Sus scrofa: one gene and its partner. The protein of the gene in region 1 purifies or fractionates together with the protein of each later gene. This does not show direct contact. Links are inferred from orthologs where the notes say so. Each region holds a gene or a part of one and is shown in the gene's direction. Other genes may lie near its edges. The genes, in order: TBC1D15 and UBXN8.

Evidence for each region.
Region 2: the proteins of TBC1D15 (region 1) and UBXN8 purify together in Homo sapiens (affinity purification with mass spectrometry; 3 studies listed by BioGRID and IntAct, counting the BioPlex papers as one, with this or other methods). This does not show direct contact. The link is inferred for Sus scrofa from reciprocal best matches to the Homo sapiens genes TBC1D15 and UBXN8.

Annotation. Positions count from the first base shown.
Region 1 is NC_010447.5:35,820,746-35,836,355, forward strand, and holds the start of TBC1D15 (TBC1 domain family member 15), read left to right. Parts: upstream 1-6,639; 5' UTR 6,640-6,740; coding exon 6,741-6,770; intron 6,771-12,029; exon of another isoform or gene 12,030-12,530; intron 12,531-15,610. UniProt on the Homo sapiens protein: Acts as a GTPase activating protein for RAB7A. Does not act on RAB4, RAB5 or RAB6.
Region 2 is NC_010457.5:54,359,676-54,375,028, reverse strand, and holds the start of UBXN8 (UBX domain-containing protein 8), read left to right. Parts: upstream 1-7,427; 5' UTR 7,428-7,432; coding exon of another isoform or gene 7,433-7,520; intron 7,521-9,117; coding exon of another isoform or gene 9,118-9,240; intron 9,241-12,940; 5' UTR 12,941-13,207; coding exon 13,208-13,417; intron 13,418-15,353. UniProt on the Homo sapiens protein: Involved in endoplasmic reticulum-associated degradation (ERAD) for misfolded lumenal proteins, possibly by tethering VCP to the endoplasmic reticulum membrane. May play a role in reproduction.

The DNA of each region.
Region 1 (15,610 bases):
ACAGTGGGAACTCCCCAGTGATAACATTTTATATAAATATAGTACAATATTAAAACCAGGAAATTGACTTTGGTACAACCCATAGAATTTACTCAGATTTCAGCGGTTTTACATGCACTTACATTTCATCCGTTGTACGTGTGTGAATAGTGAGTATAGTATTACCATTTTACCACGTGTGTTGATTCATATAACTATCACTATGATCAAGATACAGAGCTGTTCCATCACCAAGAAGTTTCCTTGTGCTATCCCTTTATAAAAGCCACTCCTCCTCCTTTTTCCTTCCTCCCCAATCCCTGACCCCTGGAAATACGAGTCTGTTCTCCATGTCCATAATTTTGCTATTTCAAAAATACTATAAAATTGGAATCATGTACCATGTAACCATTTGTGATATTTTCCCCACTCAGCATAATTTTCTTGATCCATTCAAGCTGCTGCCTGTATCATGAGCTCATTCCTTTTTATTGCTGTGCTGTATCTCATGGTATGGATATGCCATAGTTTGTTTAATCATTTATCTGTTGGAGTTCCCGTCATGGCGCGGCAGAAACAAATCCAACTAGGAACTGTGAAGTTTCGGGTTCAATCCCTGTCCTCGCTCAGTGGGTTAAGGATCCCATGTTGCCGTGAGCTGTGGTGTAGGTCGCAGACGTGGCTCGGATCTGGCCTTGCTGTGGCTCTGGCGTAGGCCTGCGGCTACAGCTCTGATTAAACTCCTAGCCTGGGAACCTCCATATGCTGTGAGTGTAGCTCCGAAAAGACAAAAAGACAAAAAAAAAAAAAAAAATCATTTATCTCTTAAAGGACATGGGGTGTTTCCAGCTTTTACTATTAAAAATAAACATTAATGTACAGGTTTGGGTATGTACATAGTTTATATTTCCTTAGGATAAATGCCCAAGTGTACATATACTTGGTCATGTGGTAAGCGTATGTTTAGTGTTATAAGAAACTGCCAAACTATTTTCCAGAGTGGCTGTACCATTTTATATTCCCACCAGCAATGTGTTAGTGATCTAGCTTCTCCACATTCTTACAAGGATTTGGTGTTACAGTTATTTTTAATTTTAGTCATTCTATTAAGTATGTAGTGATATTTCATTGTAGCTTTAGTCTGCATTTCCCTAATGATTAATGAAGTTGAACATTTTTAGATGCTTATTTTTTGCCACCTTTATATCCTCTTTAGTGAAATGTCTGTTTATATCCGTGATAGGAAGAACATGGCCTTCCAAAGATATTGTGCCAAATCCCCAGAACTTCAAGAACATGTTACTTTACACAGCAACGATTGTTTGCTGATATGATTAAAGGTATAGACCTTGAGATGGGGAGACTGTCAAGAATTATCCAGATGGGCTTCATCTAATTTCATGAGTCCTTAAGAGGAGAACCTTTCAGAGGGAGATGTGACTAAGGAAGAAAGATCAGAGATGCAGAGATTACACAGAGGTAGAATGTTGCTAGTTCTGAAGATGGAGAGAGAAGTCCAGGAGCCAAGAAATGCCCATGACATCTAGAAGCTGGAAAGGCAAGAAAACAGATTTTCCTCTAAGAGCCTCCAGAAAGGGCTGTGGTCAGCCCTGCTGACTCCTTCATCTTAGGCCAATGAGACCTGTGATGTCTAACTGTAAGAAAAAGTACGTTTTTTCAGCAACTAAGTTTGTGGTAATTTGCTACAACAGCAATAGAAAAATAGGAGTTCCAGTTGTGGCATAGCAGGTTAAGAACCAATATAGTGTCCATAAGGATGTGGGTTCCATCCCTGACCTTGCTCAGTGGGTTAAAAATCTGGTGTTGCCGCAAACTGCAGCATAGGTCGAAGGTGTGGCTTAGATCCCAGTGTTGCCATGGCTGTGGCGTAAGCCAGCAGCTGCAACTCCCATTTGATCTCTGGCCTGGGAACTTTCATATGCTGCAGGTGTGGCCATAAAAAGAAAAAAAGGAAGGAAGGAAAAAAAGGAAGGAAATGCAATCTCTTTTGCCCATTTTCTAATTGGATTATTTTTTCTTTAATGTTGAGTTTTGGGAGTTCTCCATATACTCTAGGTATTTGTCCTTTAGGATACACGTTTGCAAATATTTTACCCTGATTTGCAGCTTGTTTTTTTCAGCCTTTACAAGGTGTTTTTTTTTTTTTTTAACCATTTAAGAATTTTAATACAGAACGATAACACAGCTTAGAAAAATACAATAATGGGCTCATCAAAAGGAAGAATAGACTCTGCATGTGTCTGTTTACAGTCCTCTGACTCCAGACATTCTCACCTGGAAAATTCAACATCTGGTGGTCTGCCCTGGAGAGGCTGTGTCCTCAGCACCCCCTACCTCATGGAGGAGAGCCCCTCTCCCCTGCTTATGCAGGGTCATCTGCTTAAGTCAGGCCACAGCCATAATCATTCATTCCAGAAGGGACTGTGATTCACATCTGAGCTTGGTGTTAGTTTAATTTAAAGGGGAGAAGAAAACAAAATATAATGCTTAGATGCTGACAGTTTCTTCAGACCTCTATCTGCATTCATTTTGCTTTCAGAGCATTTGATTTGTTTTTTCTTTTTCTCTTAATGAATTTTATTACATTTATAGTTGTACAACAATCATCACAACCAAAATTTATAGCATTTCCATCCCAAATCCTTTACAAAGAGAGCAAATTTTAAAAATTTTGATGAAGTCCAGTTTATTGATTTTTTCTTTATGGATTGTGATTTTGATGTCAAGTCTAAGAACTCTTCTTAATCCTAGATCCTGAATTTTCTCTCTTGTTTTTCTAATTATTTAAAAAACTGTGGTAAAAATACGTAACATAATATTGGTCATTTCGGCCATTTTAAAATGTACAATTTAGTGGCCTTAAGTGCATTTACATTTTGTGTAGCCATCACTACCATTCATCTCACCATCCCAAACTGAAACTCCACACCAATTAAACAATGACTCCTATTTTCCCTCACCAGCCTCCAACCCCTAGACCACTAGTCTACCTTCTTATGCTTTGACTATTCTTGGTACCTCATGTAAGTAGAGTCATACACTGTTTGCCATTTCGTGGCTGGCTCATTTCACTTAGCATAATGCTTTTTTAGGGCTTATCCATGTTGTAGTATTTAATTTAATTTCTAAGACTGAATGGTATTCCATTGCATGTACATACGATATTCTATTTATCCATTTACCTGCTGATGGCTTTGGGGGTTGTTTCAAATTTTGGCTATTGTGAATAATGCTTGTAGACAATACACTGGTATACAAATACCTGTCTCTAAAATCCAGAAGTGAAATTGCTGGATTTTATGGCAATTCTGCGTGCTTTTTTGAGGAACTGCCATACTGTTTTCCACAGTGGCTGCATCATTTTATATTCCTAACAGAAATGCCCTCAAGATTCTCTTTTGTATTGTACCCCCGTGTTTGTTTCCTGTTTTTTTAGATTCCATATGTTGCTCTCCTGTAATTAACAGCTTTCTTATCCTGCCACACAGCCTCCACTTGCTTCCTAAGAAAGGGTGTGTAAGAGATACAATTTTTTTGAACTTGAGTATCTGAAAATGTATTGTTTTGATCTTACACTCGATTATTTGATTGAGTATAACATTCTAGGTTAAAAATATTTTCAATGTTTATACTCCATTGCCCTAGAGCATCCAGTGCTTTCACTGGCAAGTTCAAAGATATATTTATTCTTTACCCTTTCATGTAACATATTTTTTTTTTCCTTTTGCTCTGTGCAAGTTTTTACAATCTTTTGATTCCTATTGTTCTGAAATGTCACAATTATGTCCCTTGCTGTTGGTCTTTCTCTTCCATTATGCTTGGCACTTGGTAGGCTGATTTGGTTTGAAAATGCACATCTGACATTTCTGGGAAAAATTGTGAATTATTTATTTAGTAATTTCCTCTCCCCATATTCTCTGCTTTCTCTCCTTTATTTGGATTTAGATATCCTGTTGTAATCTACTAATTGTCTTAACTTTTCTCTCTTATTTCCATAGCTTTGTCCTTTTGTTTTACTTTCTGGAACATTTCCTTAGTTTATCTTTCAATCCATTTCTGGATTTTTTTCATTTATGTTATATTTTTAATTTATAGGAGCTCATTTTGGTTCCCTAAATAGCTCTCTTACATGGCCTTTTATTCCTGTTTCATAGATGTAAAGTCTTCTCTCATCTCTTTAAAGGTAATTAAAACTTTTTTTTTTGTTCTCTGCATTGTTTGTCTTAAATTGCTTATTTGCTGGTTTGTTCATTTTGGTCTCTGCCTTTCAGGTTAAAGGTTTTCTTCAAATGTGAAGTGATCCATGATTATGTTCATATTTAAGAGACTGGAACTAAAAGCTGATTGGAAGTTTTAGATATATGAGGGGGTTGCTGCTTTTTATTGTTTGCGGTAGAATGATATGGTTGGGTCTTTTTCAATGGTGTCCCAACTATCAGTACTTACAGGTCTTATTTCTTCAGCTGGTTAATTTATCCCATGAGAACTCCTGCAATCTCTTGGTTGTCAGCTATGTTTTCTTCATGGCACTGCCTTGCACAGTTACGCATTAAAAGTTTTTAGTCTGACTTTTATAAGAGTTTAGGCAAGGTAAGTATCAATGAGTGGTGGCAAAATTGGGAGAATCTTAATAAATGATGTGTGACATGGGATAAGCCCTGAAACACTGAGAGGTCAGTCAGAAACTGAAGTGAGAGAGAATCAAACTGAACAGGTAATTAAATGCTGTAGTTTAACGAGAGAAGTGATCACTTTCAGATGACTGTACAGGTAGCACAGCTGACTAAGGCACATATCTCTAATGAGGTCTCTATTCAGCCATAAAGCAGCTTATGACTGTAGCATATCCCTAAAAGAATTTTTCTGTCACCGAAGCCCCACCTAGATCCAAAGTTTCTTTAAAGGACTTCTTATGATTCTTTTCCACCTTATGACTTTTTTTTTTTTTTTTTTTTTCTTTTCAGAGCCACACCTGTGGCGTATGGAAGTTCCCAGACTAGGGGTCAAATGGGAGCTGCAGCTGCAGGCCTATACCACAGACACCACAGACACAGACACAGCAGCGCAGGATCCCAGCTACATCTGCGACCTATGCCGCAGCTTGTGGCAATTTTTTCTCTAACCACACCCTATTACTCTGAGCTGGTGGGAAATTTAATCTGGGTCATTATTAGGGCTCTACACACCACGCCTAGAATTGCGTGAAGGTTCTAGGGGATCTTACCTAGTCCTGTGTATGCAGGGAAGGCCCTCAAGTCTTCACTCAATGTTAGTTACTGCTAATATACTAATTTCCCCAGCTCATTTATCCTTTGCAGGTGAGCTGCTTTACCAGTTGAATACCAAGCTTGGGCATGGGGGCTTGGCTGTCGTTAGAATCTCTGATGCAGCCTCCCTAATAGGACTACACATCCATTTCCATCAAAGATCTTGCCACCTCCTTCTCCCATCAGGTTCCCAAGATTCACAGAACCAGCAAACCTCCTCTTCTGCTATTTCCTTAGGTTGCCACTTAACGAACCTCAAAAGCCTCTATACTCATGCCGCCCTGTGAAAAGAGAAGTACCTCAAAGGACACGGTGTTTTGCTACAAAGGGACCTTTTATTACTCCCTGAGGCAAAGGAAGCCCCAGAGCTTCTGTCAGAGCCATCATGGGTAGTATCCAATAATTTCCTGACATTCTTTTACTGCCCTGAGAACAAAAATAAATTATCTTACTATCTCAACAAATCAATTTACCACATATACATCGTCCCAAGAAATCTTTACAACCACTCCATGGGTAATTCTCGCTCTAATTCCTGAAGCTTGGATGAATTTATAAACTTGTTGCAAGTCACACAGCTATTAAGCAATCGTGTAGGAGCCATGAGCTATATGTGTTGGACTCTGGGACAACGAGGGCATGGTATTATCGCAGTTCCTATCAAAATACCTTGCCCATGGTTGTGCGTGAGTGGCAGTTATCAGACTCAACTTCAGAAACTTCACACAGAGGCGAAAAATTCCTGCGTGTGTGCGTCGGAGACCTGGCTGGGGTCCCTTTAATCTCCACCACAGCCCTATCTCAAGTTTACAGATGAGCTGCCAGAGACTGAAGGTAGAAGTGAAAAGCCAGGAGTTCCCGTCGTGGCTCAGCGATTAACGAATCCGACTAGGAACCATGAGGTTTCCGGTTCAATTCCTGGCCTTGCTCAGTGGGTTAAGGATCCTGCACTGCTGTGAGCTGTGGTGTAGGTTGCAGACGCGGCTCGGATCCCGCATTGCTGTGGTTCTGGCGTAGGCCGGTCCAATTCGACCCCTAGCCTGGGAACCTCCATATGCCACGGGAGCAGCCCTAGAAAAGGCAAAAAAAAAAAAAAAAAAAGACAGAAGTGAAAAGTGTCCACAAAGACCAAATTTCCTGAATCCGAATAGTCTGTACTTTCTTCATACCAACGGCTCAGAGCCTTGCCCCCAAGCAAACCCCAAAGCAAAAATACTTCAACTTACGTTCCCCGCTCGGAAAATAAATTGGCACATGCGCAGTATACACCAGAGACTCCACCCGAAGCCTCCGAGCCCTACTCTGTACGCTCGCCTCGGGTCTCTCCTCCCACCCCGCCCCTTCACTCACCGCAGTTCCCGCCACTCCCCGCCCCTTTCCCGCCCGGATATCAGCCTAGTTTTGCCGGATGTTGTTGTGAGTCTGAGAGACACGTGAGGCGCTGCTACGTCATCACAGACACGCGCAGGAAACATGGCGGCGGCGGGTGTTGTGAGCGGGAAGGTAAGTAACGGCCCCGGGGAACAGTCGTGTTTTTCTCCCGGATGGGGCCGTATTGCTGCTTGGAGGCTGGCGGGGAGGGTCGCGAGGGCTTCTCTGTATCAGATCAGACTGTGGAGGATGTAGAAGAGGGCTAGGTGGTGTCAGATGTTTTCTCCAGAGTACTCGCTCAGCCCGGGAATTAGAGACCCAGCTCCTGCTCCAAGGCCAGCTAGGCCTTGGCGCTGTTCATGTCTGTTCTGCCCAAGGATGAGGGGGCTTTTATTTGTAGTACTTTTCCTAAGGGACGGGTGGTTGTCCTCTTACTTTTTCGTTTTTTTCGACTGTCTCGGTTTTTTCCTGATTGGTTCCTTATGTGTCTACTCCAGCGTTTTTTCTCTCTTCCTTTGAGGCTTTACTCAGACTTGCCTCTGTCTTCCTCTGCCTTACTCTGGTGAAGGCATCTTTGTCCCCTTCAGGAAGAGCTGAAAATAGGTGCTTTGCAGCTGTGCACTTAGGAGACTGTATTGGATCCATTTTACCGGATTGCGGAGTTGGTTGGTCGTTGTGAGCAGCAGCACACATTTCCACGTTCAGGGAGCTGTAGATTTACACCATCCCACGCTTGTCTTTGGAAGGCATTAGTTAAGATATTTCTTTCCTAGATATCTCTGTGATGCTTCCGTGGGAGGATTTGTGGTGCGGTTTTATGGAGGTGGTCTTTGACCTCCAGGTAGTTTGTTTGGAATTAGGATTAGGTGCGGAGGATATTTTATCGCACAGTGCCTGTCATGTTCCGAGGGCACATCTTAATTCCTGCTAGTTAGCACTATCAGGGCATGCCACTGACAGCATTTCCCATTGCGGGAGTAATTTGTAAACAGTTGAATCGGGTAATGACTCATCTAACACTAATAGCTTCCTCTGTTCCTTGAGTTGCACTCATTTTCTTTATTTTTGCCCTCTCCTCATCCCATTTTGAATTATTTGACAGCATGTGTAGTTTAGTGTCTGGACTGCTAGACTAGGCGGCAGAATAACACATCACAGTTACTCTTAAGTGTGACCTTGGGAAATTGAGCAAGCATGACTTCTCTGTCCTTCATATTCTTTGTCTCCAGAATGGATGTCATGCCAGTCATTATTTCTTGTATTGGAGTTGTTAGGATTATATGAAATAATAAAAGCATTAACATGAAGATTACATATTTCTACATACTGAGTGTTTTAAATGATGGGCTGGTCATCGTTTTGAGATCTTTGGTTGTCTTGTCAGTTTTACTCTTCAGGATGGATGCTGATCTTCTTGGCTCACTGCATATTTCGAGGTTATACTGTTTGATTTTCTGTCTGGACTGAGCCAATCTAGGACTTTCCAAGGAGGGATCCTTTCTGTTTGAACTACACTTCTCTTTTTCAGGTGTGGATTGATTTTTTTTTTTTTTTTTTTTTTTGGTCCCACCCACAGCATGTGGAAGTTCCTGGGCCAGGGATCATACCCGAGTTGCTGCTTCAGTGACAGTGCAGGATCCTTAACCTGCTGCATGGTGTGAATTGATTTTGATAGGTCTCTTGAGATGATGAAGTAGAATTGTGAAATATAAGACTTTTTTCACCCTTTGCTTCCATCCACTGCCTTTCATGATCTGACTTCTTAGTCTTTTATTTCTTAACTCTACTTCATCACCTCATCTATTCTCATTGCAAATTTACACCCATTCCCATCACTCCACCTAAACTATTTTTCTATTACCCAAAGCTGCTCCTCTTCCAAGTAGTTCTATGATAACCAGCGAAACCAACTTATTCTTCCCTCAGCAAGTTCAGATCTAGTTTAATGGCATCATCATTCACCTGGTTTCATGTAAAACAAACTTGAAGACGTACATTTCTATAACAATATCTAATCAATACCAAGTCCTGCCCGTTTTCCCTTAAAGAGGTTTCTTAAATTTGCTGCATCCTCTTCATTCTCAGTGCTTAGATCATGCAGGCAGACATTTAGTCTTGAGTCCTTGGCTGATTTTTCTCCTTGTCTATAGTCTCTTTGTCCACAGTCCCCTCTCTACACAACCACTGGAATTATTTTCTATTCACAAGTCTGATTGTCTCTTGCTTAAAAAAACAAAGCTTGGTTTTGTTATGTCACTATTAAAATAATACTTAAGGCAATAGTTAACACAGCATGAAAAGCCATGTTGCCTTTCTGGCTTTATCTTATGCTTCCCTATTTCCCAGTCTGGTTTTTTTTTTGGGAAAAGGGAATAGCAAAGAACACACACGTATTTATGAGAGGGAATGTGTATGTGTTTCTTTGTATTTATTTATCTCCCCTATTCCATTCCAAAGGTTCAGCTAAGACCTAGTGTAACTTAGCAACCTAGGGCGGTGAACGTTCACCAAGGCTCCCAAGAATCATATGTGGTACTTTAAAATATATATAGCCATATACAGTTCTGCTCTGTTGAATTAGAACCTCTTGCTGTTGAGATCTAAGATGTAGAGTAACTCTTCTACTAAGTCTACTTTGCTTGCTTCGAACTTTTAGTGTAGGAAGTGATGCAGGGAGGACGTTAATCTCTGTGCAGTGCAGAAGCAGTGCCAATGCCAGATCCTTAACCCACAGGAGAACTTCCTAGAACCATATGTTTTAATAGTCAACCAAATGAGGGGAATGAGTGACATTCTTACGTGATTTTTTTTTTCTTGGCTGTAATCTTTTTTCCCCCAGTTTTATTGAGAAATGATTGACATACATCACTGTGTAAGTTTAAGGTGTACAGCGTGATGGTTTGATTTATATATATTGTGAAATGATTACCACAATAGATTCAGTTAACATCAGTCTTCTTGTCATAGATCCTCTTGTGAATATTGAGGTGAGATATAGCGACACTGCCTGTAAAGGCTATCCTGCTTTAGGATAATTAATGGAATGATTAATCACAGAGAAGGCAGAAGAAAAGGGATAGTCTGAAATAGGTTTCACCCTTACACCCAGTATCTCTGATGGTTGCAGCGTACTTTTATTCATTTATTCAACAAATATTTATTAAGCACCTGCTTTCTTCCAGGTACTGTTTTAGGCATTGGGGATGCATCATATAGCCCCTTACCTTGGAAATTACAGACTTTAGTTCTTCAGAAGGAACACACTCACTAAAACCTACTCCTTTACCTTGTTGAAATAAGAAAGTTTCAAGTCCTTGCAGTGGTGCGATTTTTATTTACTTATTTTTTTTACTTTATTTATTTTTAATTTTTAATTTCTGGTGCTATTTTTATTTATTTCTTTTTCTGGAATTTAAGTATTTTATTGTACTTGGCATTTCTACACATAATGATGTGGATTCAGAGACTGAAAGCATTAAAGGTATATAATTAAAATTCATGGGCTTAGACATAAACATAATTTTTAATATTTAGACTTGTCTAACAGATATTCCAGAAAAATAAATTGGAATATAAATACAATGTAAAATCTCCTTTGGATTTCTCCTCTGCCTAAGCAGCATTATATAACATAGACAGTTAATTCCAAAACACTTGTATGTACTTGATAGCCTCAGGAAGATATAATGAAAAAAATCTAAATAAATGAGGCTAAGAGAACTATGGTACTATGCATAAGGAACAAAAACTTATGAATTTCTCTATTCCTAAGGATTTCTAAAACCTACCTTCCCAATTTCAAGGGCAAATTTACTCAAGAGAAAGATAAACATGTCAGCTACACAACATTCATAGCTTTATTGATAGGGTATAGCCATTATGCCAGAATCCAGCCATCGATATATGTCATTTCCCATCTAAAATTATATTTATTTATTTATTTATTTTTGTCTTTTTGCCATGTCTTGGGCTGCTCCCCAGGCATATGGAGATTCCCAGGCTAGGGGTCGAATCGGAGCTGTAGCCGCCGGCCTACGCCACAGCCACAGCAACGCGGGATGCGAGCCGTGTCTGCAACCTACACCATAGGTCACGGCAACACTGGGGATCCTTAACCCGCTGAGCAAGGCCAGGGATCAAACAGGCAACCTCATGGTTCCTAGTCAAATTCATTAACCACTGAGCCACGATGGGAACTCCTAAAATTATATTTAACTTTAAATGGAATTTAGTGGCAAAGTGCCAAGAATTCAAGAATAACCTTAAAGTCTTAATTTTATATTTCAAATATATTAATTTTATACTTTAAATATATAAAAAAATAATTCCCTAAATAAAAGCATAACAAAATAACTACACAGAAAAATGAACATTAAAGTCGCCTCACTCTTTATTATGTAGTGAAAAACAAATGTATTTATAACTTCAGCATAGTCCATAAAATCGTTATTCATCAAAAATAGACAGATATTTACAAAGAACATTTAACTTAGATGTTGTAGTTTCTCATAAAATGGCACTTGAAAGATAGACCTATATAAGGAAATAAGAGTCTTGCCAAGAGAGATGGTAAACTGTACATATAAAATATACCACTATGTTGGGAGTTCCAGTCATGGCTCATTGGAAAAGAATCAGACTAGGAACCATGAGGTTGCAAGTTCAATCCCTGCCCTTGCTCCAGTGGGCTAAGGGTCTGGCATTGCCGTGAGCTATGGTGTAGGTCGCAGATGTAGCTCGGATCTGGCATTGCTGTGGCTGTGGTGTAGGCTGGCAGCTGTAGCTTGGATTAGAACCTCTATATGATGTGGGTATGGCCCTAAAAAGCAAAAAAAAAAAAAAAAAAAAAAAAAAATGTATATATATATATATATGTGTGTGTGTGTGTGTGTATATATGTGTATATATATGTGTATATATATATGTGTATGTATATATATATGTGTGTGTGTGTGTGTTTATATATGTATGTGTATACCACTATGTTAAAAACTTCATATTGTTCTTTAGGGTAGTCGATAAAGATAATCTTTTTTGGGGAGAGGTATTTAGTGTATTCATTCATTCATTCATTCATTCATTCATGCCACCCTGCAGTCTATGGAGTTCCCTGGCCAGGGATCAGATCTGAGCTGTAGTTGGGACGCACACTGCCGCCATGGCAACACCTGGACCCTTAACCCACTGTGCTTGGCCAGGGATCTAACCTGTGTCCTGGCACTGCAGAGTTGCTGCAGATCCTGTTGAGCCACAGGATTACAAATTTAAAATGCAAATTTTATATATGAATTCAGTATCTTTAAACCTTACATTGCCACTTAATCATCATCTGTTTTGTGGAAAACAATGAAAATGATGTACTTTTTGAATGTGTACATCAAAACCAAGAGGTTAATTTTTACTTTATCCTGTGTTGGCAACTTTGTATGCATTTTTAGGTTTTGGCTCCCAGAGGGCATTTTTTTACAAATCTTGAAGCCACACTTCTGTGCAGTTTGCCAGCCTTTTTCTTTTCTGTTATTTTCTCGACTCTGTTCATGTATACTCTCATCCTTCCAATTCCTGTTTACTGGATGTTCCTTATGATTAACTCCCTGAATTGCCACATAAACCCAAAACATTGAATTTAATAATGTATAAGCAGAAACTAATTACACTTTCCCTTATTCAAGAGGGCCCCACTTCTTCAACAACTCATTTCTAGAAACAGACATTATGGTCTTCAGCATCTTATCCACAACCCCAGTGGAATTCTCAGATGTTGATAAGTACTGGATAGTCTTCATTGATTTCTTCACCTGCCGTTATGACCAACTCCCAGGCCTTCCACTCCTGCCTCCAGGAAAATGGTGCTGTTAGTGAATATAGACTTGTAGATGGGCTAATCCTCATGAGAACAGGGCCTGAAATGTTTCTTCTGTATCTGGCATAGAGTCTGGCACATAGTAGGTCTTCAACAAAGAGGAAAGAGCAAGAAAGTATAAAAGGAGTTCCTGTAATGGCTCATCAGGTTAAGAACCTGATTAGTGTCCGTGAGAATACGAGTTTGATCTCTGGCCTCACTCAGTGGGTCAACGATCCGGCATTGCCACAAGGTGTGGCATAGGTCGAGGATGTGGCTTGGATCTGGTGTTGCTGTAGCTGTATTGTAGGCAGGTACCTGCAGCCCAGATTCAATCCCTAGCCTGGAAACCTCCATATGCTGTGGCTACAGCCCTAAAAAAACAGGAAAAAAAAAAAAAAAAAAAAAAGAAAGAAAGAAAAAAAATGGGGGGAGGTCTAGAGTGAGGAAGATGAGTTCTCTAATTGTGATGTTTTGGAGTTAAAAAGTCCTATTTTAGTATACTTGTATTTTATTGTAGTTACGTGTTTTTATTGTGATTGTGTTAGAATTTGGTTCTATTGAAAATAACTTGAAATAACTGGGGAATCCCTTGTTATTTTTTCTTTGAGGTTTTGTTTTGTGTTTTTTTGGATGGCCATGCCCATGGCATGTGAAAGATCCTGGGCCAGGGCTTGAATCTGTGTCACAGCAGTGACATGAGCTGCTACAATGATAACGTTGGATCCTTTACGCACTGAGCTGTAAGGGAACTCCTTTGAGTTTTTTCGAAGGCATTCTTAGTAAGAATTTATTTTGTAGCTTGAATTTGGCCCTTTCCAGTTTCCTTTAGATATGCTTATGGTTTCATGAAACCCTGTGCTTGAGGAAGATTAATATTCTTAGTGTGTAATAGTTTCTCCTGGAGAGTTTTCTCCCTCTGTCCCTCTGCCATGCCCATGGCTGTGGAAGTTCCTAGGTCAGGGATCAGTCTCGAGCCACAGCAATAACAAGGATGGGTTCTTAACCTGCTGAGCCACCTGGAAATTCCTGGAGAGTTTACTTAAACTAGATCTTATAACATGGTAGTAATCTTCCCCATGCCTCCCCCCGTGTAAGATACAGTGTATTGTCTTCTGTATTTTTCTGGCACTCTAACAAACATTTGAGTACTTGCTTTGTACTGAGTTCTTCTGAGTTCGTTCTTTCTTTCTTTCTTTCTTTCTTTCTTTCTTTCTTTCTTTCTTTCTTTCTTTCTTTCCTTCCTTCCTTCCTTCCTTCCTTCCTTCCTTCCTTCCTTCCTTCCTTCCTTCCTTCCTTCCTTTCTTCTCTCTCTCTCTTTCTCTCTTTTCTCTTTCTTTCTCTCTTTCTTTTCTTTCTTTCTTTCAACAGCCGCACCTGTGACATATGGAGATTCCCAGGCTAGGGGTTGTGGTTGAATGTGGCAATGCTGGATCCTTTAACTTACTTGAGTGAGGCCAGGGATTGAACTAGAATCCTCATGGATACTAGTTGGGTTCTTAACCCCCTGAGCTGCAATGGGAACTCTGAGTTCTTTACTCCTTTTAGGGCTGCACCCGTGGCATATGGAAGTTTCCAGGCTAGGGGTCTAATCAGAGCTGCAGCTGCCAGCCTACACCACAGCAATAGCAATGTGGGATCCGAGCCGCATCTGCAACCTCCACTGCAGCTCACGGCAATGCTGGATCCCTGGCCCACTGAGGGAGGCCAGGGATCGAACCCGCATCCTCGTGGATCCTACTTGGGTTCATTAACCGCTGAGCTACAGTGGGAACTCCTGAGTTCTTTTATTCTTGACCTAGCACAGTAGTTTGCAATTTTAACCAGTCATTTCAATTTGTGATTTAATAAAAACATGACTTTTGGGGGGAGATTTCAAATATTAAGTGTTTGCTTTGATGGGAAATAGCTTCTGAGACTAAATGAAAAATTGTAAACCAGCCTTTTAATTTTCACTTCTTGGTGGAGGGAAATCCGTATAAAATCCATTTACTGTTTCTTGTGTAATCTACAGTGTGTCTGTAGTTGATGTAGAAGAAGTCATTCATTTAATCCTTGTTGTACCTCCCCATACTGCCCTCTTGCCTGACATTGTTTTATATATGAATGCCTTTAAGAAGAAATAATAGTTCTGCTGCCTGGCCTTTATTGAGAATTGTACCATTCTCAGTATCTCAGAATTTCTGTGGTTTATTACCCTTAAAACCACCTATGTTCTACATTTCTTTGAATTCCTTAGTCTTTACTGATTAACTTGTCCCAAATAAAACTTATTGTTTACTCTCTTCCTTCTGTATTCTCTCTCTTAGTAAAATAACCTCATACACTCAGTTTTGTCCTACTCTCTGCACCTCCCATGCACATCCAATTAGTCATGGAGTCCTATCATTTTGACCTTTTAAATATCTTTCTAAGCCATCTGCCTTTCTTCATCTCACTGCCACTGCCTTGGTTCAAGCCACCATGAATCTTTTCCCTGGATTATTGCTGCTCTTCATTCTTGGCTCTGCAGCCAGGGTGTTGGCTTAGAATAGGCAAGACTGACATGGCATTCCCTTGCAAGAAATTTCTAATGGCTTTCCAGTGGCAAGAATTGTCTTCAGGGTAAATTCCAAATTCCCAAATTCCTGAGCATGGCTTAAAAACCCTTTATGGGAGTTCCTTTCATGGCTCAACGAACCTGACTAGGAAGCATGAGGATGTGGGTTTGATTCCTGGCCTTGCTCAGTGGGTTAAGGACCCGGAGTTGCCATGAGCTGTGGTGTAGGTTGCAGACGTGGCTCTGATCCTGAGTTGCTGTGGCTGTTGTGTAGGCCGGCAGCTACAGCTCCAATTCGACCTCTAACCTGGGAACTTCCATATGCTGATAATACTTATAGACCTATTGAACCTGCATCCTCATGGATACTAGTTGGGTTTGTAACCTGCTGAGCCACAGTGGGAGCTCTGATAGACGTTTGGGTTTTTTCCACCATTCGCCTTTACAAATATAGATGCTCTGAACATTGATGAACAATTTTTTGTATGAATGTATGTTTTCTTTTTTCTTGTGCAAATACCTAGCAGTATAATGGTATTTACCTGGATCATAATGTTAGGTGCATGGTTTTTTAGCATTTTTAAGAAACTG
Region 2 (15,353 bases), on another chromosome or scaffold:
TGAGCCTTTTGTGACTTGTTTTCTAAAATTTGTTAGAGCAGGTCTAAAGAAGTTTTCGGGGATAGTTTAGCACCTAAAGTATGACTTTTTTTTTTTTTTTTTTTTTTTGCCTTTTCTAGGGCCCCTCCCAGGCATATGGTGGTTCCCAGGCTAGGGGTCTAATCAGAGCTATAGCCTCTGGCCTACGCCAGAGCCACAGCAACTTGGGATCTGAGCTGTGTCTTTGACCTCCACCATAGCTCTTGGCAACGGTGGAGGGATTGAGCAAGGCCAGGGATCGAACCCGCAACCTCACGGTTCCTAGCTGTATTCATTAACCACTGCCCACGGCGGGAACTCCTAAAGTATGACTCTTTTGTGGGTCTCTTAAATGCCTCAGATAAAGGGTCAGAAAACTATGGTCTATAGGCCATATCCAGCTCATGGACTATTTTTGTAAATAAAGTTTTATTGGAACACAGCCATAACCATTTGTTTATTTATTGTGTAAGACTGCAAGCAATTGTGTCCTTGGGCATTCAACCCAAAGAAATGAAAACTTAAGGTCCTACAAGAACTTATAAACAAATGTTTACAGCATCTTTATTCATAATAGCGAAATCTGGAAGCAACCTAGATGTCCTTCAAAGAGAGTGGTTAATCAAACTATGGTGCATTCATACCGAGGGATCCTATCTAGCAATAAAAAGAATACATAACGATACACATAACTCGTTTGGATCTCAAGGGGATTGTATGGAGTAAAAAAAAGTCTCAAAAGCCAGTCTTAATAATTTTAATACACCCCAGGAGTTCCCCTTATGGCTCAGTGGTAATGAACCAGACTAGTAGCCATGAGGATTCGGGTTTGATCCCTTGCCCTGTTCAGTGGGTTAAGGATCCGGCATTGCTGTGATCCGTGGTGTAGGTCACAGACGTGGCTCAGATCCTGAGTTGCTGTGGTGTAGGCTGGCAGTTGCAGCTCTGATTCAACCTTAGCCTGGGAACTTCCATATGCAGAGGATGTGGCCCTAAAAAGACACACACACACACACAAAATGTTTAGTAAATCTCAGATTATCTTTTAACAGTGCTTATATTGGAACTCAAGGAATGGTACAGTTACAATGCATGCATTTCACTGTAGGTAATGAATGCTGTATGATTCCTCTTACGTAACATTCTTGAAATGACAAACTTAGATGGAGAACAGATTAGTGGTTACCTAGGGTTTGGTGGTGGTGAAGGATAGAAAATGAGGTGACTATGGATGTAAAAGGGTAGCATGGGCGATTCTTGTGATGGAATGATTCTGTACCTTGATTGGGGTGGTCACATGAATCAACACAGGTGATAATATTGAGTACAACTAAATACACACACACACACTGTGAGTATATGTAAAACTGGTAAAATCCAGTCTGTTTCAATATAAATTTCTTATTTATGATAACATACTATAGTTATGCATGAATTTGCCACTGGGGGAAACTGAGGATGCACATGATCTCTCTGTATTATTTCCCGTAACTCTATATGAACCTATAATTACCTCAAAATAAAAAGTTTAAAAAATTACAATGTGGACTTCCCACTGTGGATCAGCAGGTTAAAAGCACAACATGGTGTCCGTGAGGATGCAGGCTTGATACCTGGCCTCACTCAGTAGGTTATGGGTATGGCATCACCTCAAGCTTCAGTGTAGTTCGCAGATGTGACTTGGATCTGATGTTGCCATGGCTGTGATGTGGGCCTCAGCTACAGCCCTGGTTTAACCCCCAGCCTCGAATTTCCATGTGCCTCAGGTATGGCTGTGAAAAAAAAAAACAATTATGATGTGTATACAAAGCCTAATCCAAGAGTATTTTTTTTTTTTTTTTTTTTTTTTTGGCACTGCCTAAGGTATGCAGAAGTTCCTGGGCCAGGGATCAAACCCATACCACAGCAGTAAACTGAGCTACAGCGGTGACAGCACCAGATCCAGGGAACTCCCAAACAGTACATTTGGCATAATTCTATTTATAGAAGTCCTAGAGGAGGCAAAATAATCTATTATGGGGGAAAAAATCAGAACAGTGGTTACTTTCTGGGCAAAATTTTGTATCTTGTTAGGGTTGCATTGGTAAATGCTGTAAGGAGACAAGAGGTTCAAAATGGAGTTGCTTATGGTAAGCCACATCACCAAATGGAGAATTTGGCTCTCCCAGAAATTGAGTCACCTGACCAGCACTAGTTAGCTAATCTGCTTGTTGGATCCCTGCCATCACTACAGGAAAGTAACCTTGTAATTACCAACCCACTTTTTTGCCTAGAATAACTTCCTTGTTTCTGTTCCCTTCTGGGTAGAAAAGTCTTTCTTTATGTACAGATCCTCAGAGCTCCTTTTTTTCCTTTGTCTTTTTTTTTTAGGGCCATACCTGAGGCACTTGGAGGTGCCCAGGCTAGGGGCTCAATTGAAGCTGCAGCCGCTGGCCTACACCAGAGCCACAGCAACACAGGATCCAAGCTGTGTCTACGACCCACACCACAGCTCACAGCAATGCGGGATCCTCAACCAACTGAGCGAGGCCAGGGATCAAACCTCGTCCTCATAGATGCTATTTGGGTTTGTTAATTGCTGAGCCATGACAGGAATTCCTCAGAGCTCCTTTTTATCCACTACATTGGATGCTGCCTGATTTGAATCACTTTTTGCTCAAATAAACTCCAAATTTTTTAGCATTCCTCAGTTGATATTTTAAAAGTGCTAGTATTAGGAGTTCTCGTAGTGGCTCAGCAGTAACGAACCCAACTATTAGCCATGGGGAATCGGGTTCAATCCCTGGCCTTGCTCAGTGGGTTAAGGACCAGCATTGCCCTGAGCTGTGTATGGTCACAGGTGTGGCTCAGATCCCAAATTGCTGTGGCTGTGGTGTAGGCTGGCATCTACAGCTCCAATTCAACTTCTAGCCTGGGAACTTCCATAGGCCTTGGGTGCGGTCCTAAAAAGACAAAAAAAAAAAAGTGCTTGTATTGGAACTTAAGGGATGGTAGAGTTAAGATGTGTGCATTTCAGGGAGCCCTGGTGGCTCAGGGGTTAAGGATCTGATGTTGTTACTGCTGTGGCATGGGTTCAATCCCTAGCCCAGGAATTTCCACATGCTGCATGCACAGCCAAAAAAAAAAAAAAAAAGATATGTGTATTTCATTGTAGTTAATGATATGCATGCTGAAGTATATATATCATATAAAGTATGCATATGCATATGATATCATTAATGATATGCACATTGAAGTATTTTGGGGGAAGTATACTAAAGTCTCTAACTTTGAAATTCATCAAGGAGCTCCCATTGTGACTCAGTGGATTAAGGATGTGACGTAGTCTCCTTAAGAATGTGGGTTCAAGCCCTGGCCTTACTCAGTGGATTAAGGATCTGGCGTTGCCACAAACTGCAGAGTAAGTCATAGATTTGGTGTGGATCTGTTGTTGCTGTGGCTGTGGCATAGGTCTCAGTTGCAGCTCTGAATTGACCCCTAGCCTGGAACTTCCATATGCTGCAACTGTGGCCATAAAAAGAAAAAAAAAAGTTACATGCATCAAAATAAGAAAAGAGTAGAGTTCCTGCTGCGTAACAGTGGGTTGAGGATCTGACTTGTCTCTGAGGAGGTGCTGGTTCTATCCCTGGTCTGGCACAGTGGAGCAAGAATCTGGCCTTGCGGCAGCTGCAGTATAAATCAAAGCTGTGGCTTGAAGTTGAGCCCTGACCCAGGAACTTCCATATGCTGCAGGAGCAGAGAAAAAAGAAAAAAAATGTGGTGCTGAGTATATGGATAATTATTGTGAAGTTTTTTCATGTTTTTACCTTAAAATTTTCATAATTTGATATCAAAAAACTTAACTAAAAAAAATTTTTTTTTTTGGCTTCTCCTGTGGTATGTGGAAGTTCCTGGGCCAGGAATTGAACCTGAACCACAGGAGTGAACCAAGCCACAGCAATGATGCTAGACACTTAACCCAGTAGGCCACCAGGGAACTCCACTAGTTGATTTTTTTTTTAATGCAAAAATTCCAAATGGTAGGTTACAAAAGCACTTTGGATACACTTAATCAATTTCAGGCTACATTTTAATAAACATTTGTCACCTCCTAACCAAATATAAGTATATATAATTTTAAAATGTGTTGACAGTCCTACTTTTCCTATACATAAAGAAAACAGGAGTTCCCGTTGTGGCCCAGAGGAAATGAATCCGACTAGGAACAATGAGGTTGTGGGTTCAATCCCTGGCCTCGATCAGCGAGTTAAGGATCTGGCATTGCCGTGAGCTGTGGTGTAGGCCAGCAGCTGCAGCTCTCATTTGACCTTGACCTGGGAACCTCCATATGCCTCTGCTGTGGCCCTAAAAAGACAAAAAAAAAAAGAAAGGAGGAAAGAAAGAAAGAAAACAAGTAGCTCTACTTGTTAAATAAGAAAAATGTGAAATTTATGTCTTAAGAATGTTAATAAAGGAGTTCTCTTGTGGCACAGTGGGTTAAGGATCCAATTCTGTCATCGCAGCGGCTGGGCTCGGGGCTGTGGAGGCAGGTTCAATCCCGAGGCCAGGAAATTCCACATGCCATGGGCACAACCAAAAAAAAAGAAAGAAAGAAAAAAAACCAATATTTATAATAGAGTATGGCTTAATATAAACTATCAAGATTTAAAAATCCCTTCTTATTTAATACCTAAGGGTATTCCAAAAGACTTTATTGTGAGAACTGAGATGTATAGCCATAGCTTAATTATCATTAAAAACTATGACATGATGGAGTTCCCTTTTGGCATAGCAGGTTGAGGATCTGCAGCAGCTGGGGGTTGCTGCTATGGCATGTGGAAGTCCCTGGCCTGGGAACTTCCACATGCCACAGGTGCAGCCAAAAAAACAAAAACAAACAAAACTGCTTGATCTTACCTCAATCAACATGACTTTATTATTTGTTTTAGGGTATTCTTACCAACGAGGATAGGCTATAAATCAGTATGTTTCTTCATTGTTAGCTTTAGAAACTTCCTGAAAATCCATTTATCTGAACAACAGGTTGCTCATCCTCTCCAGGCACTGAGAAGTTGGATTGATCACACAACTGGGCAAATCACCTTATCAAAAAGGGACCACACCTGCCTTCAAGTCCCACCTCTTGCTGCATCCACCATCCCTAAACTATTATACCACACACTATGTCTAATCCCAACCAATGACATCCCCACATCGAAAAGGCCACCTAAAACTATTCCAGTGGAGACTCCAAAAAGCCTATAAAAATCACTCTTGACTTCCCCTCTGAGACACTACAAAGATTTTGTCACAAAAGTGTTCTCCTTTAATGCAGTAAGTGGAAATTTGATTTTGCTTTAATAGGTTATTCTAATGGTCTTGGGTGTCGGGTGGAGGTTAAAAGTAGACAATTACAGTGAAGAGACTTCATAATCAATAAAGTTTTGGGAAATGTTTATGGCCCTAAGCAAATCTAGAGTATGTGGGAGCCTCTACTTTACTGTCCTGATAGAGATTTATTGGTGCCATCAACAGATTCAATTAGGAATATAAAAAGAGGAAGAAAAATACCTAAAGGAGGAAATCATACCAAAATGAAGATGGTAACCGCTGTAGAACTCTTTCCTGTCTTCATGTGGACAGCAAATGAAAACGTTTTAATGAGTCAATGTAATTAATTGTTTAATTGGTATGTCACATAATTTATAGTACTTTACCCAGATCGATTTTGAGATTGTGCACTCATAGTCTGCACCTTGAATTCTAGGATAACGTTCTTAGCCTATATACCAAGCCAAGCTCCCTTGGTCCTGGCTCCAACCTACTTCTACACTCTTCCATTCAAAGTTGAAATTGCAATATTTTAACTGTTGGTAGTTCCTCTACATTCATAGTTTGTCAAACTTCAAATCTCTTGCCCTTTTCCCCAATTCCTAACCTTTACAAAATAATTTAGACACGATTTCCTTTGGGAAAGCCTTTCCCCAAGCCCTCACTTGGGTACATAGCTCCCTGTGTACCTCTCACAGCACACAAGCGCTGTATTTTTCTCTTTACAGGGCTGTCTTTCCCACGAACTGAGTTTCTCAAGGACAAAACTTACACATACTTGAGTCTCTATGAGTTCTACAGTGCCAGGCAAATTGTGGAGCTAAATAAATGTTAGCTGAACTAAACTGAAGGGTGAGGCAGAACTGATGGAAGGGTCACAAAACCAACTTTCAAAGCACGAAAACTTTTATTTTATTTTAGGGCTGCGTCCCAGGCATATGGAAGTTCCCACGCTAGGGGTCCAATTGGAGCTACAGCTGCTGGCCTACACCACAGCCACAGCAACGCAGGATCCCAGCCAGGTCTGCGACCTACACCAAAGCTCAAGGGAAGGCTGGATTCCTGACCCACTGAGTGAGGCCAGGGATCAGAACCAGATACTAGTCGGATTATGATGGCAACTCCCACGAAATCTTTTTTTTTTTGTCTTTTTGCTATTTCTTTGGGCCGCTTCTGCAGCATATGGAGGTTCCCAGGCTAGGGGTCTAATCGGAGCGGATCCGAGCCGCGTCTGCAACCTACACCACAGCTCAAGGCAACGCGGGATCGTTAACCCACTGAGCAAGGGCAGGGACCGAACCCGCAACTTCATGGTTCCTAGTCGGATTCGTTAACCACTGCGAAATCTCCCTCACGAAATCTTTTAAGAGATCTCTGTAGCTTACACGCATCGGGGTTGGCAGAAACGCCAAAGAGATGAGTCATAGGATGGCAATGAGGTCACAGAACTGGGAGGCCGTGTTAAGTCATTAACAGTAACACCTGCTAGCAAAACTGATAAGGAGCGGAGCAAGGGGTAGCGGGTCTCCATAATTAGGTGCCAGGCCTCACTTTTGAGTCATCTTCCCGTCGGAACCAGAGACCGAGGAAGGTGCCGGGGACCGTTTGGAAGATAAGGAAGGTTCTTCGGCAGAAAGTGGTGCTCAACAGCTCTGACTCAAAAGTCCACAATCACCCACTACAGACATAGGCCAAGGGCACAGGCTGCCTCCTTGTAGTATCAGCTGCCCCTATCCTTTCTCCTCTGTTTCATTTTACTCTTTAGAGTTCTTTCTTACAATCTCTACAGTCTGACAGCCGAAGGGGCAGGGGCTGCCCGCCTCGAAGGAGCCCAAGTTTTGCTTTCACAGGACTTGGCTGGGCGGGTGCCAGCGAGGCCGTCTCCCCTGGACCTCACGTGACGTCGGGAGGTGACCTACACTTGTTTTCAGGTTACAGATTATGAGTTCAAAAGCCTGGGTTTATCTCAGTCTCACCAACGAAACAGCTTTAGGGTCCAGCGCTTTCCTGGAATTCCTCCCTTAGAAAGGATCCACTCCACCTTCCAAGGGAGGCGTAATCAGAAGGGGCGGAGCTTCCGCCAGGAAGCAGCGCTTCCGCCGCTATGGTTTCTCTTGGGGTGGTTGGCATTTTCCTCCTCTCTGCTCTCCCCCTCTTGTGTCTGGAGCTCCGGCGTGGGGTCCCAGATCTAGGTAAGTGCTGGCTTTTGCCTCCTGGCGTTCACACCTGGTAACAGTCTCACGAACACTACGTGCAATTTCCCGGCCGCGTCTCCTCTGGGCGGCTTTGACTACGATGCCCAGGCTGCACCGCGCCTGCCTTCCTCTTCCCCCGCGGGGTTCCTGGTGGAGCGAGACTTTTGCCGTCCTGGGGAGGCAAACTCTTGGCGGAAAAGTGCCCCTCCAGATCTGGTGAAGTTTTGCGGGTAATGGGACAGAGGCCGAAAGCACAGGAGCAAGCATATACTTGACTTTCACATTGTGTTGAGTGCTCAAAAGGAAATAAACAAGCTGATGTAGGCCTTCTGAAGAATTTAAGAGACTTAAATGATAAGGAGCCACACGTTTGAAAAGCGAGGGCGGGAGGTGGAGGGAGCGGGATGACATTCCAGACAAAAGGAATTGTGACTTGAAGGAAAAGGATGAAGACCTTTGAGGCTGGATTAAAGAGACTAGTAGAGAGAGTGGCGCATGATAATAGCATTCATTGAACGCTTATTGTAAACTAGACTCTTAAGTCGTGGTTATTATCTCCTCTAAATTGGTTTACAAACTTTGAGGATGCGCACTGCTCTAACCTATTTTACAGTGGAAACAGATATAGGGAGGTTAAGGGACTTCCCTAAGGTTTTAAAAAGTCTGGATTCTTTGTGGACAAGTGTTTTGCAAGGAAGGTATAGCGGAAGCAGTGAGGCAAATTAGGTTTCTGTTGTTCTTGGCAGATTTGACTATAGGGTGTCTCTCTTCTCTCTCCCCTTTTTTTTTTCTTTTTTTCCTTTCTGGGGCTACACCTGTGGCTTTAGTAAGTTCTTGGGCTAGGGGTCAAATCGAAGGTACAGCAACTGTTGGCATACCTCTACCTGGTGTCTTTTGAGAATTATAAAATAAAACTAAAAATTCCTAGAGGATAGAAACCATTTTTATTCCAACTTCTTATCCAGGATCCCTCATCATTAACAAATTGTATTACACACAGTAGGTACTTGTTACATTTTTTGCTGATTAATTTTCATCTTGGCTCTCAAAATCATACAAAACCAAGTACTGAATTTTCCCTTTTTTGGGCAGATATGTATATAGTAATTTTATTTACAAATGACAGAATAAACATTGAGAACTAGAGAAGTACACAGTTGCATAACTTAACTGTGAGAAATAAGAATTTGTGTTCAGTGGGAGTGACTGATTTTAAATAGAATTTGATAAGATGATACATACCATCATGATTTAGTTCCCAATTAATGTGGATAATTTTCTTTCCTTCTTGGGGCAGAAGGAAAACCAAGATTTCTGCATTATTGATAGTCATATATTTATAATGTAGCCATTCACTTATATTCCTGAAAGATGTTCTAGAATCATTTTTTGAAAACTTGTTCTGGTAATGACAGTCGTGATGAATTTTGGCACCACAGGAAAATTATATGAAATATTATAAGACAGTTGCATACCTTAACTTTTATTATTATATTGTTCTGGTACAAATAATCTGCTAATATATTAGTACTTATTATTAGTTCCAAGAAAAATTGTTTTAAATTTTAATTGTAATTTTTTTAACCTTGTTAAGGAATCAAAGATCTTATTTTGCTATGTGGCCGGATTTTCTTACTGCTTGCTCTTCTTACATTAATTATTTCGGTGGCTACCTCATGGATTAACTCGTTTAAATCTACCCAAGTTTATCTGAAAGGTAAGTTTATAGTTTATGCTACTCTTTTAGAGTTTTCTACTGAAATTTCTTTCCTTTATTTATTCTAGAACTTGGCAAAATGAGAACTATTTTACCATTACTTTTTGCTGTGTAATTTCAAGGATAGTAGTCATTACTTTAGTTACGATTTCAAATGGGCTATAAATTGCAATATTATGAGAAATTGTACATTTTTATTATATATACATTTGAAACTATCATTTCTAACTGATATTCTGCAAATTCTCTTGTTTGTTTTTGTTTTTGTTTTCTTTTTTTGGCCACCCCGAGGCACATGGAGTTCCTGGGCCAGGGATCAGGTCTAGGCCACAGTTGCAATCTATACTGCAGATGAGGCAATGCCAGATCCTTGAACCCACTATGCCGGCCAGGGATCAAACCCGAGACTTGGTGCTGCAGAGACACTGCTGACCCCATTGCACCACAGCAGGAACTCCAAATTCTCTAATTTTAAATTGCCTCTGTGTTAATGGAGCACTAACTGCTATTTGGTACTTAGAGCTTATAAACTATTCGACAGATGGTAAATGTATCTACTGTTAAGAGTTAAAGAAAATTTGGAGTACTTTTGTAGTGTAGTGGGTTAAGGATCAGGCCACTGCTGTGGTGCAGGTTTGATCCCTGGTCCAGGATCTTCCATATGCTGCTGGCACACCAGGAAAAAAAAAAGAGTTAAAGATAATTTATTTTTTATTACATTCTGGTAGTTTTTATTTTCACACTTAATATATAGTTAAGCATTCTTAATTTTAGGAAATCATGCTTGTTCTTATTTTCATTTTGTTTTTTGTAAGTAAAAGTTTGTGTTACAGACCTTTTAGAACAATATTGTAATTCACCTCAGGACAGATAAATCTTAAAAGTAATGACTACATTCTTATATCCTATTAGAAAGAAGGGAGTTCCTGTCGTGGCTCAGCGATTCACAAACCTGACTAGCATATGTGAGAACGCAGGTTTGACTCCTGGCCTCGCTCAGTGGGTTAAGGATCCAGCATTGCCATGAGCTGTGGTGTAGGTTGCAGATGTGGCTTGGATCCCCCCTTGCTGTGGCTGTGGCATAGGTCAGAGCTGTAGCTCTGATTCGACCCCTAGCCTGGGAACCTCCATATGCTGCAGGTGTGGCCCTAAAAAGACAAAAGACAAAAGACAAAAAAAAAAAAAAAGTTTGTCAGTAGTGAATTTGGTGCATTATGTTTTGTTTTACTGTTTATTTAAATGTAAATAAATGAAAGGAAAATCAGCAGTGTTTAATTTATAGCCCTTTCAAACTAACTGTGAATGAAAACATAATCCTAAAAGGTTACACTATTCAACCCAAACATAAATGACAGTGTGGATGTTTCAGGGTCTCCCAATCATAGATTTTTGGAAATTTTTTTCTTCTTTTAGTATATTATTTGATCTTTTATACTTCAAAGTACTCAGTTGGAAGATTTAAATGACTCGTTGTAACTTCTCTTAAAAACTTTGTATTAAGTGTATTTTGGTATGGGGAAGATATTTGCTGCATAGATTAGACTATGGGCAAATATTCTGTGTTTTATTTTGTTTTGTTTTTCTTTTTATGCCTGCATATGGAAGATCCCAGGCCAGGGGTTGAATTGGAGCTGCAACTGTGGCCACAGCCATGGCAACAGAGGAACTGAGCCATGTTTGCAACCTGTGCTGCTGTTTATGGCAATGCCAGATCCTTAACCAATTGAGCCAGGCCAGGGATCGAACCTGCATCCTTACAAAGATAATGTCGGGTCCTTGATTTGCTAACCACAACAAGAACTCCATTCTGTGTTTTACAAATAAGGGAAATATGCACTTGCCATAGTTTTCATACTTTAAGTTGTACCTTTATATTGAAGTGCAAGTCATTTCGGAAACATTTATGGTTTGATAATTTTGAGATGTAATCATCACTGAAGACAAAAACTGTCTAATAAGTAATTAAGACTGTACATAATGCCTAATTATTGTCAGATTTTCCACCGTCTCTGCGGCGTTGCCAGTTTGACCCCTGGCCCAACACAGTGGGTTAAAGATCCCGTGTTGCCACAGCTGTGGCGTGGGTCACAGCTGTGGCGCGGATGTGATCCCTGGCCTGGGAGGTTCCTTATGCCTTGAATGTGGCTGAAAAGGGGGGGGGGAGGAAGAAACAAACTCATAGAAAAAGATAAGATTTTTGATTACCAAAGGCAAGTGATGAGGGGAGGGGGGAATTGGATGAAAGTAGTCAAAAGATGCAAACTTAGGAAGTTCCCTTATGGTGCAGTGGGTTAAGGATCCGGTGTTGTCATTGCAGCGGCTTTGAGTAGTTGCTGTGGTGTGGGTTTGATCTCTGGCCTGGAAACTTCCACATGCCATGGGTGCAACCCCCCCAAAAACAAACTAAATTAGTAGTACTAATTTAGTACTTAATCCCTAGTGCTAATTAATTTAGTAATCAGTCCATAGTAGGGATATAAGGTACAATATGATAAATATTAGTGACACTGCTGTACATTATATATGAAAGTTGTTAAGAGAATAAATCCTAAGAATTTTCATCACAAGGAAAAAAATTGTTTTTATTTCTTTAATGTTGTGTCTATATGAGATCTTGGATCTTCACTAAACCTACTGTGGTAAACATTTCATGATGTATGTAAATCACATCGTTATGCTGTACACCTTCAACTTACACAGTGATGACTGTCAATTATATCATTAAAACTGAAAGAAAAAAATATGTATATATTCTTTGATTCAGATCACTAAGTTTGATCACCTAGCAAGTTAGAGGCCAGACTGGACCTTCTGATTTTCTTTGTGCTTTACTGCCCTAACTTTTCCTTAATAATCTTGTCTCTTTTTTTTTTTTTTTTTTTGCTATTTCTTTGGCGCTCCTGCGCATATGGAGGTTCCAGGCTAGGGTCAATCGGAGCTGTAGCTGCAGCCTACGCAGAGCCACAGCAACATGGATCGAGCCGCGTCTGCACCTACACCACAGCTCACGGCACCCGGATTATCACCCACTGAGCAAGGCAGGGACGAACCGCAACCTCATGGTTCCTAGTCGGATTCGTTAACCACTGCGCCACGACGGGAACTCCTTCCTTAATAATCTTGAGGAAATATCTGCTGCCAAGAAACAAGTAAAGCTGTTGACAGAAAGGAATGCTCCTATTCAAGGATTGAATTGATTGACTGATTTTTTTTTTTTTTTTGGTCTTTTGTCTTTTTAGGGCCGCACCCGCAGCATATGGAGGGTGCTAGGCTAGGGGTCTATTTAGAGCTGTTGTTGCTGGCCTACTCCAGAGCCACAGCAACGCCAGTTCTGAGCTGCGTCTTCGACCTATACCACAGCTCACAGCCATGCCCGATCCTTAACCTACTGAGCGAGGCCAGGGATCCAACCCCCAACCTCATGGTTCCTAGTCAGATTCATTTCTGCTGCACCAAGACAAGAACTCTTTAGGGATATATTTAAAAGATTCATAATTCTTTGGGAGAATACAATTAAATGAAATTAACTTAAATGAAATTTATTCTACCCCCGCCCTCCAAAAAGGTCTATACAATAGCAGAAATCCCTTCTCTTGACATTCAGTAGATTATAAACTAATATTGGTTCAGTTACTATAGGAGTTGCCAGCCACACCCTGTCTTTGGGATCTAGGCATGTTGCTTTTACTGTCATTTCCAGGGGTGACCAGTGGCTGCAGCATAGCATACCGCACCTCGTGTGAGAATGGGCTTCCATGCTTTATCTTGGAGCTGCTGAAATGCTGTAGGTGGCTGCAGGAAAAAAATCCACATCATTATTCTTGAAGCCTCCTCACCAAAGCTGTAACACAATATTACTACATGTCAGAGAATTTTCATCTCAGAACAGACCTTTTCTTTACAGATCTTGCTTGTGGATTTCTTTGTTTCAACTGTCTGTGTGTATTTCATTTTCATTATTTGAAAAATGCAGCATATTTTTTTTAAGGCTTGTTTCCCCCAAAATGTTAAGATCTACAGAGTACTTTCAGAGAAGATAGCATTCAACTTTACCAATACTGAGGAATTAAAAAAAAAAGCACTTTTATGTTTTGGTGTCTTAGAAGAAGAAGAAGAGAAGAATGAGAAAAAGCAAAAACTTGTGAGGAAAAAACAACAAGAGGCACAAGGTGAAAAGGTAAAGCTACTTTTGGGGGAATAGAGAATACAGACATTTCAAATTTAGGTCTGTTGGTTTATGTGTTTGTGTTCAGATTTTTATTGTTATTATTTTAATTTTTAAATTTTTGCATTGTAGAACTACACCTGTGGCATATGAAAGTTCCCAGGCTTGGGGTCCAGTTGGAGCTATAGCTGCTGGCCTATCCCACAGCCACAGCAACTTGAGATCCAAACTACATCTGCGACTTACACCACAGCTCACGGCAACACCGGATCCTTTCACCCACTGAGCAAGGCCAGGGATCGAACCTGCCTCCTCATGGATGCTAGTCAGATTCATTAACGACTGAGCCACAACGGGAACTCCCAGCTTTTTTATATCAACGAGGTCAAATTCACATGACATAAAATTAACCATCTTAAATTGTATGATTCAGAATATTCACAATCTTGTACAATCATTACCTCTGTCTAGTTCCAAAACATTTTCTTCACCCCAGAAGAAAACCCTGTACCCATTAAACAATTACTTCTCCTTTCCCCATTTCTTCCATCTCATCCTCTGCTTTCTGTTTGGATGGATCTATTCTGGATAATTCATATAAATGGAATCATACAACATGTGACATATTGTGTCTGGCTTCTTTCACTTGCATGATGTTTTCCAGGGTTCATTCATGTAGCATGTATCACTACTTCATTCCTTTTCATGGATGAATGATATTTCACTGTATCCATGGGTCATAATTTGTTTATCCTTTATTGATGGACATTTAGGTTATTTCCACCTTTTGGCTATTAATAGTGCTGCTCTGAATATTTGTGTGCAGATACTTGAGTACTGTTTTCAGTTCTTTTGGGTGTATACATAGAATGGAATTGCAAGGTAACATGTTAATTCTATGTATTAATTTTCTGAGGAATTGCCAAACTATTTTGCACATAAGCTATACCATTTTATATTCCCACCAGTAGTTTCTGAGGGTCTGAGTTTCTACTTCCTCAACAGCATTTATTTCCACGCTCCTCACCCCCCGCATACGCGTCGTAAAGCATATGAAATGGTATTACGTGGTTTTGACTTGCATTTCCCTAATGACTAATAATGTTGAACAAATTTTCATGTGCATGTTGGACATTTGTATATCTTCTCTGGAAAAATATCTAAGGTCTTTGCCCATTTTTAAATTGGGTTGTCTTCTTTTTGTTGAACTATAGGAGTTTTTTTATGTATTCTGGGTATTGAATTCTTATCAGATACCTGATTTGCAAGTATTTTCTCCTAGTCTTTGGATTGCTTTGTAGTCTTTTTATAATGGCCTTTGATGCACAGAAATTTTTAATTTTGATGGAAGTCTAGTTTTCATATCTTTTGTTACTCATGCTTTTGGTGTCATAATCTCAGAATCCATTGCCAAATCTAAATTCATGAAAATTTACCTCTATATTCCAATTGTTGTATAGTTTTAGCTTTTTTTTTTTTTTTTAAATCTTTTTCTGGGGCCACACCCGCGGCACATGGAGGTTCCCAGGCTAGGGGTCAAATTGGAGCTGTTGCTGCCGGCCTATGCCAGAGCCACAGCAACTCCAGATCCAAGCCTCCTCTGCAATCTACACAACAGCTCACGGCAACGCCGGATCCTTAACCTCCTGAGCGAGGCCAGGATCAAACCGGAAACCACATGGTTTGTAGTTGGATTCATTTCTGCTTCCGCCCTGATGGGAACTCCTTTAGTAAGTTTTGAAATCAGGAAGTATGCGTCCTCCTACTTTGTTCTTCTTTTTCAGTAGTTTTGTCTATGGGGACCCTTTCCAATTCTGTTTGAGTTTACGGATTGGCCTTTCATTTCTGCAAAAAAGGGCTTAGGGATTTTGTGAAGGATTGCACTGAAATCTGTAGATTGCTTTGAGTAGTATTTTTTTTTTTTTTTGTCTTTTTGTCCTTTTTTGTT